2 linked regions of the Alligator mississippiensis genome follow. The protein of the gene in region 2 interacts with the protein of the main gene of each other region in a pairwise test. Links are inferred from orthologs where the notes say so. Each region holds a gene or a part of one and is shown on either strand. Other genes may lie near its edges.

Region 1 (9,324 bases), on a different chromosome or scaffold from region 2:
GGGAGCCCACAGCTGGACAAGGGACTCCAGATGTGGCCTCCCCAGTGCCCCATAGAGGGGAAGAATCACTGCCCTCAATCTGCTGGCAACGTTCCTACCGATGCAGCCCAGGATGCCGCAACAAGGGCACACTGCTGGCTCATATCCCTCTTATTGCCCACTGTCAGCCCCAGGTCCTTTTCTGCAGAGCTGCTGCCCAGCCCGTCACCCCCAGCCTGTCCCGGTGCATGGGACTGCTCTGTCCTAAACGCAGCACTTTGCACTTGTCCTTAATTGAACCTCAGTCATGAGATTCCTTTTGGTCGTCAAAGCCTCTGGATCCCAGCCCTGCCCTCCAGCGCATCTGCTACTCCCCCCAGCGCGGTGTCATCCGCGAAGGTGCTGAGTGTGCACTCACCCTGCTTTCCAGCCGAGGCTGATGTCATTTTCCTGGACTTTAGGAAGGCCTTTGACACAGTTTCGCACCCTGTCCTCGTTGGGAAGCTAGCAGACTGTGGAGTGGACGCCTACACGGTCAGGTGGGTGGCCAACTGGCTTAGGGACCGCACCAGAGTGGTGGTGGATGGTTTCTTCTCGGCCTGGAGGGAGGTGGGCAGTGGGGTCCCGCAGGGTTCGGTCCTCCAACAGATATTATCCAATATCTTCATCAGCGATTTGGACAAGGGCATGGAGAGCACCCTCTCCAAGTTCGCTGATGATACCAAGTTATGGGGCAAAGTTAGTACACAGGAGGGCAGGGAGCAGATTCAGGCTGACCTGGACAGGTTGGATCAATGGGCAGAGAGAAATAGGATGCAATTTAATAAAGATAAATATAAGGTACTCCACCTGGGAAGGAGGAACCCCCAGCACACCTATAGGTTGGGGAGTGTCCTTCTCAGTAGCTCGGAGGCAGAGAGGGATCTTGGAGTCATAATTGACTCCAAGATGAACATGAGCCGGCAGTGTAACGAGGCCATCAACAAGGCCAGTCACATCTTGAAGTGCATTAGCAGCTGCATGACTAATAGATCAAAGGAGGCGATGCTCCCCCTCTATGCGGCACTGGCCAGGCCGCAGTTGGAGTAGTGTGTCCAGCTCTGGGCGCCGCACTTCAAGAGAGATGCAGGGAATCTGGAGAGGGTCCAGAGGAGGCCACTCGCATGATGAGTGGCCTTCGTGATAGACCCTACGGGGGGAGGTTGAAAGACCTGATTCTCTTCAGCCTTCACAAGAGATGGCTGAGGGGACATCTTGTGGCCGCCTATAAATTTATTAGGGGAGGTCAACGGGGAATAGGGGAAGTGCTGTTTACTAGGGTGCCCCAGGGAGTGACTAGGAATAACAGGTGTAAACTAGTTGAGAGGGGATTTAGGTTAGATATTAGGAAGAAATTTTTCACAGTAAGGGTGGCCAGGATCTGAAATGGGCTCCCAAGAGAGGTGGTGCTTTCACCTAGCTTGGAGGTCTTCAAGAGGAGGATAGATAGTCACCTGGCTGGGGTCGTCTGACCTCGGTCCTCTTTCCTGCCAGGGGCAGGGGCTCAGACACGATGATCCATTTGGTCCCTTCTGACTCGACAATCTATGAATCTATGACACTGAACACAACTGCCTCCGGTCCCTCCACCTGATACAGAAACACTTCCTCCAGGGCAGAGCAGGGGTCCGCAGGGTGGACACCAGGCATCGGTGGGGGGACGCCCCGTCCATGTGTCAGGGGGGTTTTAAGCCCCCCCAGAGGTGCTACCTGCAGCTCAGGCTGGGGATGAGGACCGGACTATGCCAATGCAATCTGCAGGGTCCCGCACCTGTGCTCAGGCTCAGCCCCACATTGCACTGGGGCAGATGCTCAGCCTGGCACAGTCCCCTCTGTAGCGGGGGTGCAGCCTCGGCCTGGGGGCTCTTCAGCAATTACTGACAGGTCACAGCAGCACGACGTTGGCGGCTGCAGCCCCGCTGCTTTTCCTGCAGCAAACTCTGGCGTCAGATCCACTGTGTCAGGATCAACAGTATTTGATACACGCTGGATTAGTCCTGGCCGGTTTGCACAGGGCCGATCCTTCCTCCGGCCAGAGGCTAGACTGGATGCGACCTCTGAAGCTCCCTTCCATCCCCACGGCTGTAGGATTCAGCGATGCAGACAGGGCTTTAAATCAATACCCGATAACCACAACTCAAGGATAGGAACAGCCTCTAAAGGGCCAAGCAGGAGGAGCGGGCAAGTCACGAAAGGGAGAAAACAGCTAGGAAAGGAAGAGCGCTCGACCGAATGAAGCCGTGGTGTGACCCTGGACCGTGAGAGCCGTGGGCAAGGCAGAAGGTAAGTAGTGCGTTTATTAGGATAAACGGGGTGCCAGCAGTCCCTGGGTCTACCGCGGCTCGTGGACGGGTCTTGAGCTGACTTCTGAGCCCAATCCTGGAGCCGCAGATCTGGCCGCAGGTCTTTCTGCAGCAGAGCAGGTGTAGGCTGGCATTCCTCTCCCTCCCCGGGGAAGCACGGGCCGGTCCCCAGGTGCCCTTCCCTGCCTGGCGGGGCAGCGTGCCTCCTGCCTCAGAGCACCGGATAAAGGAGGCCGGGATCCCTCCTCACCTCCTGGAGCTCAAGGTGGGGAACCCAGGCGTCCCCTTGGCCCTGTCCGGGGCTGGGCACGTCCCTGCTGACCTGGCGTCAGGGCCTGGGGTGCAGCAGCACGGCCTGGCCGCACAGCCCCTCCTGCAGGCCGCCCGCGGGCACGATGTAGACCTTGCCGTCGCCCGCCCGCCGGGGGCTGAAGTCCGTCAGCTGAGCGTTGCTCTCCTGCAGCTGCCCGTAGCCCCACAGCTGGTAGCGCCAGCTCTTGCCTTGCTTGGCCAGCAGGTAGGTCTCCTCCACGCCCGCCGGCAGGGGCCCCGGCCCCCGGGGGTGGAAGAGCCCCGGGATCTCCTCGTCCTCGCGGCAGGGCGGGCTTGGCGCATCGGGCCTCAGACCCAGAAGGGCTCCTGCGGGCACAGCGGCTGTCAGCCCAGCTCCGCTCCTGGAAGCAGCAGGATGTGGCCCTTTGGCCCCAAAGGGGTGGTGGGCTGTTGCCCCCCCTGGGCCGCAGTCTGAAACAGATTTCCACCCCCCAAGGCTTTGAGCACTCCCGCACCTAAGAGCCCCGCTACGCCCTGGGGTGAGGACCAGCCCGTGGCAATTGCCGGACACGGCTCCCAGACCCCTGGCACAGTTCACCAGCCCCGTGGCACCCAGGCCAGGCAGGACCGTACCCGAAACGACAGCCCAGTGGGCTTTGTATCCGCGCCGGCGGCAGGGCTCGTGGTTAGAGTCCTCGTCGTAGCTGGGCGCTCGTCAAGGCTGCAGCGGGGGGCCTGAGGGGATGCCCACGCCGTCGCCACCCCTCCCAGAGCCACCTCCGCAGCCCGGGGGCATTGAGCGAGGCTGAGGGAGACCTGGAGGTGGTGGAGGGAGAGCCACGATGCCCCCCCCATTACCCCTCCAAAGACACAGCGGACACATCACCCCCCCCCCCCCCCCGGCGGGACCCAGACGCCGCCTGCCACGGCTGCGTGGGCCCATCCCGGCTGGAGGGCCACGTGGGAGAAGGATACGGCACCAGCACGGGGCAGCCAGCAGCAAGGTGGCAAAGGATCCTGTCCCGGTTGGCTCCCTCCAAGCCTCCCGTGAGCAGCTCCGCCCGGCACGGGAACACCTCTGCCGCCAGCTTCGCCATGTCCGCCGCTGGGGGAGGAGGCGGACGTGTCTCAGACCCTGCTCCAGGCTCCGTCACCCCTTCCCCGGAGCCGGGGCATCTCCGACGCCAACCCGGGGCAGGCAGGGGCTGACCTGAGAACATCTCCCCCTGCGCCGTGTAGCCTCTGTCCAGCGCCGCCTGCACGATGCGCTCCAGCGAGACGCTCCGGGGCAGGCGGAGGAGGGCGCCCGCCATCCACAGCGCCACCAGCCCGCACCTGCGGGCACGGGGCCGGGGTCGAGGGGGGTCCCAGGGCTGAGGGGGGCATTCCCCCAGCCCCACGGCTGCACCCTGGGCCCCTGTGCCATCTCGGCTGTCCTGGGCCCCTGTGGGGTCTCGGCTGCCGCGGCTGCGGTACTCACTGGGGCCCCTCCTGGATCAAGGACGGCACGGGGCGGTGGTACAGCAGCCACTTCCGCCGCCCGCTGAAGCTGGAAGAGAGACGCCCGCCGCACTCAGCGCCCCGTGCAGGGAGACGTCTCGGGGGGCAAGGGGGCTACCCCCCCCGCCCCGAGACCCCCCACCACCACACTGTGGCGACCCCGACCTGGCGCGCCGGTGCCCCAGCAGCTCCCGCACGTCATCCCCGGTGCCGGGCGGGGGGGCCGCACGCTCCAGGGCCGCCTTCAGGAAGTGGGCCTTGGCGCCCCCCGATGGGGGCAGGGGAGGCAGGGATGGGGGTGGGGGAGGACGAGGGGGAGGGGGTGGGGCAGGAGGGGGCAACCCCACCCCGCCCTTATGGGCCATGGGCAGGGGGAAGGGGGGGCAAAGGGAGATTGGCCAGAGGTCAGAGGGCAAAGGGCATGACCTCGCTGGGGGAGGGGGACGGGGTCGCGCTGCCCGCCCAAGATGGCGGCGCCCGTGGAGGGGGCCTCGCGGCGGTCATGTGCCCTCGCGCCGTGGAGCGCGGCCGGCCAATAGGAAGCGGCCGCGGCCTTGACTGACAGCCAGCTGCCGGCTCGGGGGCGGAGAGGAGCCCTCGGATTGGCCCGTTCGCTGAGGGAGGGAGGGACGGGGTGGGGACAGAGCGGATTGGCTGCCCGACGCCCCGCATCGATAGGCTCGTCAGGGGGAGGCTGCGGCCCTCCCATTGGTCCGCCCGCGCCGAGGGAGCGGGGCCAGTCTCCGCGCGCCCTTTCGCTGCGGCGGCCGCGCTGCGCCACGGGCCCGGCGGCGTCGGTGAGAGCGGGGGGGCCGCGGGACCCCCATCCGGGCTGCCCTCTCTTGGGGGGGCACTTCCGGGGAGGGGGGAGAGCCGAGAGCCCCCCCCCACAGGCCTCCCTTCTGGGGGAGCTCCCATTGCCACGGGGAGCCCTCCACTTCCGGTGGAGCCGCCTCCTGGGGGGAGGGGGCGTCTGGGCCAGGTGCCCCCCCTCCCCGGGGTGCCCCTGGGTCCGGGCTGCTGCGGGGCCTGCCCTTAAAGGGCCACGACCCCTTAGGAGGCAGGACCCCCTCCCCCCCAGCTGACCCCCGCGCTCCCCCCCCGCAGACCCCGCCGCCATGGCCGTGCAGGAAGCCCGCCCCAACCACACCATCTACATCAACAACCTCAACGAGAAGATCAAGAAGGACGGTGAGGGGCCCCAGGGATGGCACCGGGTGGGGGGGGGACGGGACACCCCCGCCGGGTCCATGCCTAACCCCCCCCACCACGTTTGCCTCCCCCAGAGCTGAAGAAGTCCCTGTACGCCATCTTCTCCCAGTTCGGGCAGATCCTGGACATCCTGGTGTCGCGCAGCCTCAAGATGAGGGGCCAGGCCTTCGTCATCTTCAAGGAGATCAGCAGCGCCACCAACGCCCTGCGCTCCATGCAGGGCTTCCCCTTCTACGACAAGCCCATGGTGAGCGCGGGGGCCCGCGGCCCGGGGGGGGGACCCAGGCGGTGTCGTCCCCCGCCCGCGCTGACCCGGCCTCTGCTCCCCAGAGGATCCAGTACGCCAAGACGGACTCGGACATCATCGCCAAGATGAAGGGCACCTACGTGGAGCGCGACCGCAAGCGGGAGAAGAGGAAGCCCAAGGGCCAGGAGACGCCGACGACCAAGAAGGCCATGCCGGGAGCGGCCGCCCCCGTGGCCAACGCCGTGCAGGGCGCCGTGCCGGTGAGTCAAGGCCTGGGGCGGCCCCCGCCGGGCCCTCTTGGCATCCAGGGGTGCTACGGCCGTGCCCGGCACGGGGACCTTGCGGCTAAGCCGCTGTCCTCTCCTCCGCCTGCAGGGGATGGCGATGAACCAGGCTCCCCGCATGATGCACCACATGCCAGGCCAGCCGCCCTACATGCCCCCGCCCGGCATGATCCCGCCGCCCGGCATGGCTCCCGGAGGCATGGCGCCCGGCGGCATGGCCCCTCAGCAGATGATGCCCGGCCAGATGCCTCCTGCCCAGCCGGTGAGTGCCGCGTGTGCCCGGGCTTCGGGCTCCCCTCGGTCTTGTCCAAACTCACCCGTGGCTCCGGATGGTGAAGCTTCCTTGTTGCAGGGGAGGGCGAAGGACCCTTCTCCCCAGGGGCGAGTGGAGTCGTGGCCTTGCTGTCGTGGCTGGGGCTGGGGGCAGCAGGACCTGGTGCTGAGCTCCTTGCTCTAATGCCACCTGGGCTGGGGCTATGGGGTGCCTAAGGGCTGCAGGTCCCTGTCCTGGAGAAGCCGGCCCTGCTGGAGCTTGGCTGGTGACGTCTTTGCCAGTCTTGATTCTCGTCTTGCGGGAGGACTTTATGCTGGCAAGTGCCTGTCCCTGCTGCGGGTCCTTGGACTTGGTGCTGCTTGCATCCGGCCGGCCAGGGGGATGCCAGCCCCCGCCCTCCCCGCTCCGACCGGCCCCTCTCCCCGCAGGTCTCAGAGAATCCACCCAACCACATCCTCTTCCTCACCAACCTGCCCGAGGAGACCAACGAGCTGATGCTCTCCATGCTCTTCAACCAGTGAGTCTAGGGGGAGAGGGGGGCTGGGGCGGGAAGCGACGGTGCCAGCAGCCGAGGCTGCCCCTCACTGCTCCCCCTTCCTCCCCTGCAAGGTTCCCCGGGTTCAAGGAAGTGCGGCTGGTGCCAGGGCGCCACGACATCGCCTTCGTGGAGTTCGATAACGAGGTGCAGGCCGGGGCCGCCCGCGACGCCCTCCAGGGCTTCAAGATCACCCAGAACAATGCCATGAAGATCTCCTTCGCCAAGAAGTGAGGCCATGGCCTCCCCGCGTCCCGGTCTTATCCCTCAGGGCTGCCCCCATTCCCCTTTCTCCCCATGTTGTTTGTACTGACTGTCAGGTAAGTGCTCCCAGGCTGGCCCATCCTGGCACCCAGAGCCTTATGCACCGTGCCTGACTCGCAGCAGCCCCTTGCTCCCAGCGGGTAAGTGCCCCGGATGCCCACCAGCAGCTGAGCCAGCCTTGGTAGAGCAAGGCAGCCCCTGGAGACCGGGACCGGGTGGGTGGGGGAGGGCAGGGAGACAGTTGATGGCCTCATGGAAAGCATTGTACCCAGGGTCTGGTGCTCAGACATTGCACCTGGAGCTTCCCGCTGTGTAATAAAGTTGTTTTGTTTTAGAGGTCGGTGGGTGCTGCCCCTTCCTTCACCCGGGTCCAGGTGCTGGGTGGGGGGCGCTTCGGGGTGCACTGCCCACTGGTCCTGCTGGGACACCCCAGTCTCCCTGCTGTTCCAGCAGCTGCTACCTGATCCCGGGATTTTGCGCCGTGGACTGGCTGGCCACGAGGGCATCTAACGGGGCTGGGAGCGCAGCCACTGCCAGCAATGGGGATGGGGACAGTCCGTCTATGGAGCCAGCCCCTGCAACACCTTATTCTTCAAGGGAAACATACAGAGCCCCCACCAGCCCCTTCTCTGTGCACTGCTGCCCTGAACTGGGGGCTCAAACATGCTGGGGGGAGCAAAGCATACACTCAGAAAATGAGGGTTGAAGGGACCCCAAGAGGTCACACCTGGTCCAGCCCCCTGCTGAAAGCAGGACCAGCCCCAACTGCATCATCCCACCTCTCTTCGCCAGCCTCATTTTCCTAGTATCCAACCTCAACTTCCCTTGCTGCAGCTTGAGCCCATTGCTCCTGTCATCTGCCCCCACTGAGACCAGTCCAGCTCCATCCTCTTTGCACCCCCCTGCAGGGAGGTGAAGGCTGCTAGTCGATCCCCCTCAGTCTTCTCTTCTGCAGACTGAATCAGCCCATTTCCCTCAGCCTCTCCTCACCAGTCCTGTCCCCCAGCCCTGCATTTTCATTGCTCTCTGCTGGACTCTCCAGTATGTCCACATCCTTTCTGTAGTGGGGGGGGCCAAAACGACACCGGACTCCAGATGTGGCCTCCCCAGTGCCGAATAGAGGGAAGACACTGCCCTCGACCTGCTGGCACTGCTCCTACCAATGCAGCCCAGGATCCCATTTGCCTTCTCGGCAACGAGGGCACACTGCTGGCTCCTGTTCAGCTTATTGCTTCCTGTCCCCGTCCCCCCCCCCGGGTCCTTTGCAGAGCAGCCAGTCGCCCCTGGCCTGTCCCGGTGCAGGGGATTGTGCCCGAAGCACAGGACTTTGCACTTGTCCTTGTTGAACCTCATGAGATTTATTTTGGCCCATTCCTTCAACGTGTTGAGGTCTCTAACTCATAGCCCTGCCCTCCAGAGCATGGTGGGGGGGCACAGCGGGTGGTTCTGTGTCCCTGCCTGCTTGTGGGGCTTCTCTGGGCTCCCCCCTCCCAGCCGGCTAGCCCAATAGGAGCCGAGCCTGGAGGAGGTCTTGCTTTTCCCCTCCTACCCCCAGCCCCTTTGCCGCTGGGAAGAGCAGACAAGGGCCCCACTGTGCTGGGGCTGCTCCGTGGCAGGGGCGGCTGCTGCTGTTCCCTGGGCCGGCCCCTGGCTCCGCATCTCTGCTCCAGCCCTCAGGTTCACGGCTCCTGCCCGGGCCAAAAGCAGAGTGGGAGGGAGACATTTCACAGAGGCTTCTTGAAGCTGCCCTGTCCTGGCATCCAGCCCCTTTCTCTGAGCTGGGCACCACCCGGCCTGGCTGCGCGGCTGGCTCTGGGCTGGAGCGTGGCAGCAGGGGCCCCAGCCTCCTTGAAGCCGACAGCACCTGGGGTTCATTCAGCACCCCTGAGTCCGGGGGGGTTTGAGCCCTCCGCCATTCCCCAGCTGGTCCCTGGTATGGGGGGCATCTCCCAGGGAAAAAAGGCCAAGGCCGGGGACGAGAACCGGAGCCGGACACCAGTACCCCCCTGCTCCACCCCCAGGCCGGGCAGTCGCTTCGAGCTCCACCATGGCCCTGGCCTGGGTCTTGCTGCTCGGTGCCCTGCTGGGGGCTGCCCATGGCGGCTGGCACATGGACAAGCTGGCGGAGCGCAAGCTCTGCGCGGACACCGACTGCAGCCGTGAGTGCCCGGGGTGGGGGCGTGGAGAAAGGGGACCAGGGCCGTGCCACCGGGGCAGGAGACTACCCGTGTCTCCCCATGGGGGGTTGTAGCCAGGCCAGGGCAACCCTGTCTGCTCTCCATCACCCCCACCAGACCCCATCTCCATTGCGGTGGCCGTGCAGGACTACGTGGCCCCCGACTGCCGCTTCCTCCACGTCCAGCGGGGCCAAATCCTCTACGTCTTCTCCAAGCTCAAGGGCCGCGGGCGTCTCT
Region 2 (9,773 bases):
AAAAGCTTGGAATATATTTACAAAATTCAACATGTATATATTGTTAAATAACCATGAACTACAAGAAACAATGAATAACGTATTCATTTTGTGCAATGAGACATATTTTAAAAGCAGCAGGAAAACTAAGCTACAAAAAATGCCCATTGTGTAGCTTAAAATAAGGTGCAAGTATCTCAGAAACTAGAACTGAAGTGCAGAAAATTCAGGTCACATCTGATGGTGCAAACAATTACAGGAAATACAGCCCACTCCAGTCAGGAAGCACCCCCTCTTCCCACAGGTTTGCACTAGTCTGATAAAAACAATCTAACTTCCTACTTATTATGCTGTCCATTTTAAACATCCTTGATAATCTACAAAAGCATTCTTTATGCTTATGGAGATGAAAAGACTACAATTTGAAAAATAATTGTAAGATGAGCAAAAACAATGTTAATGCATCTTCCAAGCAAGGTGCATTTTTAATCAACCTGCACAATCTTAACTTTAAGAGTTTACTGTAGTATTGAACAGTAACTGTGCTTGTATTAAAAAAAAAAGTTATCAAATTTTACTTTCATCATGTTTTGAGATCAAGATTCAGAAAAACATTGAAAATGGGGAGATGTTTTAGATAATGAAGTTCATAGTAAGAGATATTTTGTGTGCCATGTAATTATATGTCTAAATCCTAAAATAAAGTAAAACAAACTCCAAAAAACGCCAAGGCAATAATTTTATGCCTGTTTGAATTTCTGCTTCTGATCTGGCAAACCATATAAGATCAAATGCAAACCCATGTGTTCTTTTTAAATACTGCCACGTGCATATAAAAAAAAAAAAATCTAATCAGCAAAAATAATTCTCGAATTCTTTTCTAAAAAAAAAATCAAAAAAAAAATCAGGATTTCTCAGGACTTTATGTAAACGTTCTTTCTTTAATTAAGAGGGCAGAAGCAGAAAACTGGACTCCCTAGTCCAAGAGGCCCCTTCTGCAAACAATAGACGACACTGCTAATTCTTACAGTTTTACTACTCCAAAAGCATGTATAGGATCTCCAAGTTAACATGGATTGTATTCCATGTTCTGTGATAACTTTTTAAAAGATATCCCAGATTGAATCTCCCTACTAAAATGCAAATTAATCTGTTGAAAAAGTAAAACAAATAACTAAACCAAATTATTTCGGGGGGGGGAGGGACGGACTACTTCAACTCCTTTTCTCTTATTCCTTCCCCTCTAAATGTCCTGTAAATAATCAGGTGTTACTTTGCAAAATACATTTGACAGTGATATAAAAGTAATTTTTAAAGTACTTTAATTATTGTGCCTCAAAATAAATACTCTCTCTCTTTCTCTCTCTCTCTCTCTGAGGCCTCTTCCTAATACACTAAGAAACATGAAATCTGATATTGCTTGTGGTGGAAATGTTCCTTCTGTTCCCAGAGCAGAGATTTTAGTATTTCTTCCAGCCCTATCATGCCTGTTGTATAAAAAAATTGCCTAAACTTTTCCAAGGTGTGCTCACTAGGGTTTTATGCACAGTATTAATGTGGTATTTTCCTAAGATACATAAGCACAAATTTTAAGTCCAAAAATCCTCAAATTTCACTGTCTTCTAGTAAAGCTGCTAATTTTAGTATTAAGTTAGTAAAGATCTTACAAATCCATTCTCATCTTTCAGAAAAAGAAAATAACTGGCGCCCCTTAGTGTTCACATTTTGAAACCTTCATATATTTCACTGGATTTGCATGCAACATTTTTTTGACATTCCAAAAAGTTTTCTGCCTCCACAACTCTTCCAGCCAAGCACCAACACAAACAGGAAAAAGCAAGACAACTTAAAGGGATAGCAGAACTTTTCCTTGGGCCATGTAGTACAAAATAAAAGTCTGGCAGAGGGGGGAGGAGGAATGGGTAAAGAACAGCCTGACTCCTCAATAACTTCAAAATAAACTTTGGTTCCAGTGTTTGTCTCGGGTTTATGAAACTCTGCTAAACCAGAGACTTCCAGGATTCAACAAAATTCAAAAGATGCAGTGACCTCATATATACCTCCTCTTTCAATACCTTTTGACACTGGAGATGTTTCTCTCCCTTTTGTTCTCAGGACAGACCAACTTTGTAGGCCGCCTCCTTCTGAGATTATACGAACTTGAAAGGGGTATGGGATTTTAAAAATCCACCATCAAGCCTCTGGGAAGATTATTGATGCTTAAAATGCATCTTGTTGATCCAGTTTCTTCTGAATTAATATTTTCCTTACTAATTAACCTTCTGAAGATCAGGGTGACCCTAACTGTACGTTACAATTTTCCTTCTGACATCCATGCATGGCCAGCCTAGATCTGAAAACTAAACTGAGCCCTCAGAAGCACAGAACTAAAAACATCCAGACCTATGCTGCTGCTTCAAGTCCAATTTTGTTTTTAAATACTTCAAGTGCCCTTTTCATCTCCCATCCATTCCTCTCATTAACTGAGGAAGGGTGGGTGGGTGTGTGTGTGTACGTACATACATACACACACACACACACACACACACACACACACCCACCCACCCACCCACCCCTACGTGGTCCCACAACCACATTCTTACATGTGGATTTTTTCCTCCTCTTAAACCCTGACTCCTTCCCCGAACTGGCCGCTTTACTCCATTTTAAGCAAACAAAATGCAAATGCCAGCACAAACCCCATGGGCCCCAAACCCTCAAAATGCCTCAACTGCTTAAGACCCACCCCCCCAAGAAAAAAAAAACACCATGGAAGTTGGAACTGTGACAAAACCTCCCACTCCTGCACAGAGAGGAACGCCTGCAAGAGTGTCATTCTACAGAGCAGGTCTCCATGTTGGGCCCCCTTTCCCTAGCAGGAATAGGGAGAGAGAAAAAAAAAGAAAGAAATCTGTGCAGCCCAAGCAGGGAAGCTAAAACCTCTCTGAAAGCAGGAACACACACACACACACACACCCCTCCAGCCCCAAAGACCACACACACACCCTTCCCTCCAGCCCCAAACACACATGCACACACCCCTCCTCCGAGCCACAGACACAGACTCCCCCCTCTAGCTGCAAATAAACACACACACACACACACACACCCTCCCCACCAGCCACACACACATATACATACCCTTCCAGCCCCAAACACACACACCCCCCTCCTTGCAAACCATAGACTCCCCTCTGGCCGCAAGCAAACACGCAAACACACACACACACTTAACCACACAAACACCCCACCCCCTCCCCCAGCCCCGCCCGGGACGAGGAGCTGCGAGCGCCGCGCACGTTATTTCCACATGAGATCACTGCCCCGCCGTGGGGCCGGCCCGGCCCGAGGCCGCCAGGCCCGGGACAGCCCTCCCGACCCGTCCCGTCCTGTCCCGCGGGCGCCGCCTTCCAACTTAAGTGCGCTGAGGAAGGGGCGCCCCCCCGGGGCCTTGCAGCCCCTCACTTCCCCTTTGTTCCCGCCGAGGCCAGCCGGGGAGGGGGGAGGGGGGAGGGGGGAGGCGGCGTGAGGCCGGTCTTACCTTCGTCCAGCAGCCTCTCGAGGTGGTTGAAGATCCCGCAGAAGTTGGGCAGGCTACTCATCAGCTTCTTGTCGTTCATGAGCTGCATCAGGTAATCGGGGCTCGGCTTCGGCTTCTCCTTCGTTTCCATTTCCCCCACCATATTCCAAGCGCGCCGCCGGCGCCCCCCGCCCGCCCGCCCGGCCCGCCCCGGAGGCGGCCGCGAGGAGCGAGCGAGCGAGAGACACGAGCTCGGGGCCCCCCTGGGCTGGGTCGGCCGGGCGGGCGGGCGGCGGGGACTACTCCGCGGCGGCCCCGCGCCCGGGCAAATCGACCCGGCTCTGGCCTCGGCGATGCCCCTCGCTCCAACCGGGGTGCGCGGCCGCCGCTCGCTCCTTCCTTCCTGCCGCCCTTCCCGGGAGCCGCCGCCGCTGCGCTGGGTGCCTCCGCCCGCCCGCCCGCCCGCCCGCCGCCGCTGCCGCCGCCGCCGCCTGTGGCTGGTGAGTGTTAGCCTCGCCGCCGCCTCCTCACTTCTCCTCACTTCGCTCCGGAGTTCGCTTCAGTTCAGGCTGCACCGACAGCGGCAGCGGCAGCCGCGGCGGCGGGGGGGAGGAGCGGGGGCGGGCGCAGGGGCGGGGCGGCCGTTAGGCGGGGAGCAGCGCGAGCGAGCGGCGCCACTTGGCGGGGACCGCCCCCCCCTCTGTGCCCCCCCCCTCCGGCGCCGCGCGCAACTCCAACGGGCGGCGCCGTGCGCGCGTGCGCACACTGGAGTGGGAAGGGGGGGTGTTCTTCGCGGCTCTGACCCGGCACGTGAAGGGCGCTGCGTGACGCAGGGGTGGGGAAGTACTTTCTGAACGCGCCCCTGCTACTGATTCTGCTTGGGTGGGTGGAAGGCGGGGCGGGGCGGGGCGGGGCGGCGTGACGTATGACGGGAGGAGAGGAGCGGGCGCATGCGCGCCGCCGCCTTCGCACGCTGCTTGCATAGTGCGCGAGCGGAAAGGGGGCAGTGCGCATGCGCGCCGCGGGAGTGGCGCGACTGGCAGCCTTTAAAGTGGGGAGGTTGTGGGGCCCCTCCCACGCTACTTCTCCCCTCTCAGCCGGGCGGACGGGGTGGGGTGGGGTGGGGGCCCCGCGCCCCACTGGGCTGAGGGGCTGCAGGCCTCGAGCCTCTAATGCTTCTCACGTCTGACCAAAAAAAAAAGGCGTAGCCCTTCCTCAATTTTTCTCCCGTCCTAATGCCCCCCCGACATTAAAGGGACGGGCGTAAGGAGGAGTTGGGCTAGAGATGGGCAAAATATGGCCCACGGGCCGCATGCAGCCAGCGCGCCTAGGTCTTGCAGATGAAATTATCATATTGGAAGCCCGAAAGGGTCGGATTTGCTGAAAAACTATGCAAATACATATGCAAATAAGTTAAGTTGTCCTCTTCACTTTATGTTGTTCGCTGTAACATGCCGATGAGGGAGTTATTGAGAACTGGATCAAAGTTGAAGCTTTATTTTGAGGCGAGCCGTCATAAGAAAGCACTGACCTCAAAGTCAGGTGAGACTCCCTGAGAGTGACTTGAGTTTTGCACAGGCTACATGGACACGCTGCCTTGAAAATAATAGTACATTTTACTGGGTCAGTTTCACTGACAACCCTCTACACTTTTAGCTTCTCTCACTCCTTGGAGCTTCAGCCCAGCAGAGACTCCCTGTGCCTGATGAAGGGCAACTGCGCCTGAAAGCTTGCTAAGACCTTTTTTCCAACTATTCAGTTGATCTAATAAAAGATATCACATCTACCCAAAGAGCCTTGCCTGCCCAGTACATGTTGAACACTTAGTATTCTTGATTGTACATTGTACAAGAGCTGAAATCATCATACAGATATAATTATCATACGCCTGGCCACAATGCTGCCAACTGATTGGATTCGGCCCGTGTTGCTCTTCATGGGGCTGAGCCCACCCATGCCCATCCAGGGCGGTCCACGCCACGCTCCCACCCACACCCATTAAGGCACAGTCCCAGCCAGCATGTACAGCTTCCTGGTGGGGCTGTTCCCACTGCTGCTGCTGCAGCTGCCTATATACTGCTCAGCTCCCACTGCCTCCAACAGCTCCTCCTCCTGTTCCAGCTGTGCTGCTCTGGGCAGCAGGTAGCATGGGGAAGCTGTGGGGACATGCTAGGCACCACATGCCCAGCTAGGAGTGGAGAAAGCTGCAGCCAGGCAGCGCCTGCCTCAGCATGCAGGGGCTCCAGCTCCAGTTCCTGGCCCCCTTCCACCTGCTCTGCCCACCCAGTGCAATGAGCAGCCACCTGCAGGCAGCTGAGCACGTGGAAGGTGGCTGGGAGCTGGAGCCCTGCATGCTGTGGCAGGAGCCACCCAGCTGCAGCCTCCCCCATGCCTGGAGTGGCACAGCAAGCACAGAAGGAGGAGCTGCTGTAGGCAGGGGGAGCCAAGCAGTACCCAGGCAGCTCCAGGAGCAGCCCTACTAACAACCTGTGCACTGGCCAGGGCTGGGCAGTGCCATTGATGGGTGTGAGCAGGAGTGTAGAGCAGGTGGTGCTCAGCCCCATGTGGCGTACCATGAGGGCAGCCATGGGCTGGATGAGACAGCGGGGGGAAAACACACCTGCATCACCAGGGGCAGGCAAAATAAGGCCAGATCTAGCCTGCCACGCACTTCCATCTAACCCACGGCATCCACCAATTAATTTTACCCCACCCAGCCCTTCCACCCATGTGGGTGGGAGCGAGGAACCCATGTATACACCCCCCAAAATACTCTATTGCTACTCGCTCCTACCCTCAAGGGTGGAAGACACAGCTTTCAGGCGGGGCTGCTGCGGCCACTAGGAACCTTCTTGGCTTCCCAGGCATCCTGCTTGCTCCAGACACCAGGTAGGGAAGTGGCAGGGATGAAGGCAAAGCTGCAGCTAGGCAGGAGTGTGGGGCTGGAGCTGGCGGCAGCATGAAGCCAGCACCCAGAGAGGCCTGCAGCACAGAGCTTGGGTGGGCAGCATGTGGGTGTGAGGGAGGGTGGGGGGTAGGGGGACCCCCCATGTTCCACTCATGGTACACAGGCCCAGCAGGCAGCAGCAGCAGCAGGCAGGGGCGTGTGTGCCCGGCACAGGGACTGGTGACCAGCAGCATGTGGTTCTAGCCAGCACTACACATCATGGTGAGGAGCACAACCCCTGCCGGGCCATCTCTATCACCAGTGTTCCCCACCACACATACACAGCCTGGCACAGGAAGGAACCCCCACTCCTTATGAGGCTTCCCTCCTGTGCTGTACAACTGTGAGGCCTCCAGGTGCACGATGGGAAGCACCAGCGATAGAGACAGCCTGGTGCGGACTGCGCCACTCACCGCAATGTGCAGTGCTGGCTGGAGCCACGGGCCGCCAGGCATCAGCACCTCCGCCAGGCACAGGAGCCCCGAGCGCCCCTGCCTGCTGCTGCACCATGGTAGGAGTGTAGGGTGGGAATCCCCATGTCCCACCACCTTTCCTCACACCCCACAAATGCCACTCACCCACCCACACCCTGCACCCACACCTTCCCACATATACACACCCTCTAACATACCCTATACCCCCACACACAGCCACACCCACACAACTTCCCCACACACCCCACCATACACACACACCCCCAACCACATCCCCAACCCCACACATACCCCAACCACACCTCCCACACACAATATCCAAGACTAAGAATGTATGTTTTAGTTATTATGCAATCCTCTCTATAGTACACAAACCCAAATCATGACAAAAGTATTTCTTATAATAAAATTCATATATATTATAGTAGGTGTTAGACTTTTAGTGTACAATTTGTTTTTTTTCTGGTTTTAAGATGGCAATGCCCCCCCTCCAAAAAGGAATATTTCCAGGAGGCAAGGGGAGGGACTTCTAGTGGAAAAGTTGGGGGTCAAGGGTCATGGGTGGAACATCTGGTCCCAAGATGGCAACGGGGTGGGGGGGGCAGCAACTTTCAAGGGGAAGGGCTACCCATGTGGCCCTTGAAAGCTCACCAAACTTCGTTAAGCAGCCCTCCACCCAAAATAATTGCCCGCCCCTGTGCATCATGCCCCCCCTGGAGGTAGGTCTGCTGCATGTTCCCCCTATTCATGGACTGGCCACTCCTGAGCTACACTATTTCACTGGAAGTGAAATAGATATTTGATTTTCAGTATAGGATTTTTTTATCTATAATTTGTTAAAATGCTATCTTATGAAATATTCTCTGTGCGCAACCCTTGACAACTCACCAAAACTTGGTAAGTGACCCGCCACCCAAAATAATTGCCCACCCCTGAATTAGGCTGAATGTCCCCCTATTCAGTAACGTTCATTATATACAATATTAGTTCTGTTCCCAGAGAGGGGATAGCAAAGTTGAAATCTCAGTTTCTTCATTTAGATTCTTCAGTAGTATGTCACCTATATTCGAAGCATGGCTGTTAGAGGTGCATATCTACCCTGCCTTCTGCCTTTCATAGCCTAACTAAATAAGATATATATAGTACAGGCTTTCATGAACCCACATTCACTTCATCAAATTCTGTGAAAGTCGAATGAGAAGTAGAGTATGAAGTGATTAGAATACAATAGGCAGGAAAGCAGGGGGAGGAGGGATGCTAGGAGAGGCTTACAAGCAAAGAACCTATAGGAACAAAGGGGTCAGGAAAGTGAATCTAGGTAATGCGATAAGAATCTATAGTCCCTGCTTAAACCATACTTCGCACAGTCCAGCCTGTGGATGATTTCTTGTTCTACAATTTCTTGTTCAAACTGCTTTTTTTTTTCTTTTTTTGTTTTGTTTTGCCTGAGAACAGCAATCCTGTGGTCCAGGGAAGTTGAAGTGTTCTGCCACCGGCTCTTGTGTCTTCCTGCACCTGATGTCAGATCAGTGTTAAAATTGAAACAGGTTGTTTTGCTTTTTGCAAGTTTAAAGGGTTCCCCCGTCCTTGGCAAACCGTTCACATATTAGAAAAGCCTACTAAACTGTCTATCATACAGACAAGTTGGTCTTCAGGCTGCTATAATTAGGTCATTTTTAGATGCAAGTTATAATATACACTTGCTAAATTAAAGTTTCCATATTCAACTCTAAGAATGACTTATGATCTTAAAGTGCTTGAAGAATGCTTTATGAACATCATTGAGTGAGTGGGCTCTCTCTGTTTTAATAATTAAGTGAATTTAGAGCTTGTCAAATTGTCAGTTCTGAAGAACTAACTTTTGTAATAATAGAGTAGTGTTAAGTTCAGCAGGGATAGTACAGTTGTCCCCAACTTGCCTCACTTGGTATACTTTAATTGTGATCTGGAGGAACCACTTCCAGTGAAATAGTGTAGCTCAGGAGTGGCCAGTCCATGGCCCACATGCCATGAGTGAGAGGGGAAGGTGCTCAGTAAAGGGAGGTGCTGAAATGGAGGCAGAGGGTTTAAGCCTCCAGAGCATGGAGAAAGGCAGGAAACTTAGGAAAGAGGTGTCAGGTGTCACTGCAGAGAGGAAAGATAACCCTTTTCTGGCCCCTCAGTGACTGCCAAATTCAGGATTTTAGATCCTCACTGGTCTCATAACTGCAGCAGTTATGGGGCCAGGGAAGAGTTAACCTGCCTCTTGGTTCTGACACCTGCTCTAGCAACAGCATCCTGTCCCTGCTGTTCCACACAGCTGAAGGCTGGATCCACCCCCCCCCCCCCCCCCCCGGCCTCCATTCTGGTGCTGCAAACTCTTCTCAGGTATGCAGAGAAAAGAGGGGGACGGGGATTGAAATCTGAGCAGCACTGGGGAGGGGGCTGCACTTAACTTTGGTGTATATGCCAAAAAGATCAACACCACTGGTGGCCATCCAGTCTTTGAGCTTGTTCTTGATATCTGCTGAAATTGCCAAATTAAGCAAAAATGACTCATAACCCACACATTTTTAAGTTATGCACACACACGGATGTACTTTTTTTGTACATTAAAAAAAGAATGCTTATACAAAATTGGAGTGCCATGACAATAATTAGCTTGCATCCAAGTCACTCTGCCAGCCAATAGTCTTAAGTATTCAAGTACATGCAGTTTCCTTCATCCAACAGACAATGATAATGAAAAACTCCAAAAAGGCTTTTGTTCCCAAATTTTCTTCGTGTTCACCCCAATATCATCAAATAAGTGTGATGTTTTAATTTTGAAGCATGTCTGAAAGGTCCTTGAACTTGAGCTCTTGGATGGTGGAGTGGGAGGAGGTATCTTCTAAATCTCTGACTCAGAAGACCC

The links.
Region 1: the proteins of QKI (region 2) and SNRPA interact in binary tests that used the Homo sapiens proteins (3 or more experiments, as listed by UniProt). The link is inferred for Alligator mississippiensis from reciprocal best matches to the Homo sapiens genes QKI and SNRPA.

Annotation. Positions count from the first base shown.
Region 1 is NC_081838.1:2,384,571-2,393,894, forward strand, and holds SNRPA (U1 small nuclear ribonucleoprotein A), read left to right. Parts: upstream 1-4,784; 5' UTR 4,785-4,891; intron 4,892-5,201; 5' UTR 5,202-5,212; coding exon 5,213-5,285; intron 5,286-5,380; coding exon 5,381-5,553; intron 5,554-5,636; coding exon 5,637-5,813; intron 5,814-5,928; coding exon 5,929-6,099; intron 6,100-6,539; coding exon 6,540-6,628; intron 6,629-6,720; coding exon 6,721-6,880; 3' UTR 6,881-7,246; downstream 7,247-9,324. Other genes in the region: ACTMAP (actin maturation protease), read right to left, coding at 2,650-2,960, 3,228-3,298, 3,570-3,699, 3,805-3,929, 4,075-4,143, 4,260-4,459; MIA (melanoma-derived growth regulatory protein), read left to right, coding at 8,958-9,069, 9,205-9,324. UniProt on the Homo sapiens protein: Component of the spliceosomal U1 snRNP, which is essential for recognition of the pre-mRNA 5' splice-site and the subsequent assembly of the spliceosome. U1 snRNP is the first snRNP to interact with pre-mRNA.
Region 2 is NC_081824.1:140,776,164-140,785,936, reverse strand, and holds the start of QKI (KH domain-containing RNA-binding protein QKI), read right to left. Parts: upstream 4,053-9,773; 5' UTR 3,663-4,052; coding exon 3,521-3,662; intron 1-3,520. UniProt on the Homo sapiens protein: RNA reader protein, which recognizes and binds specific RNAs, thereby regulating RNA metabolic processes, such as pre-mRNA splicing, circular RNA (circRNA) formation, mRNA export, mRNA stability and/or translation.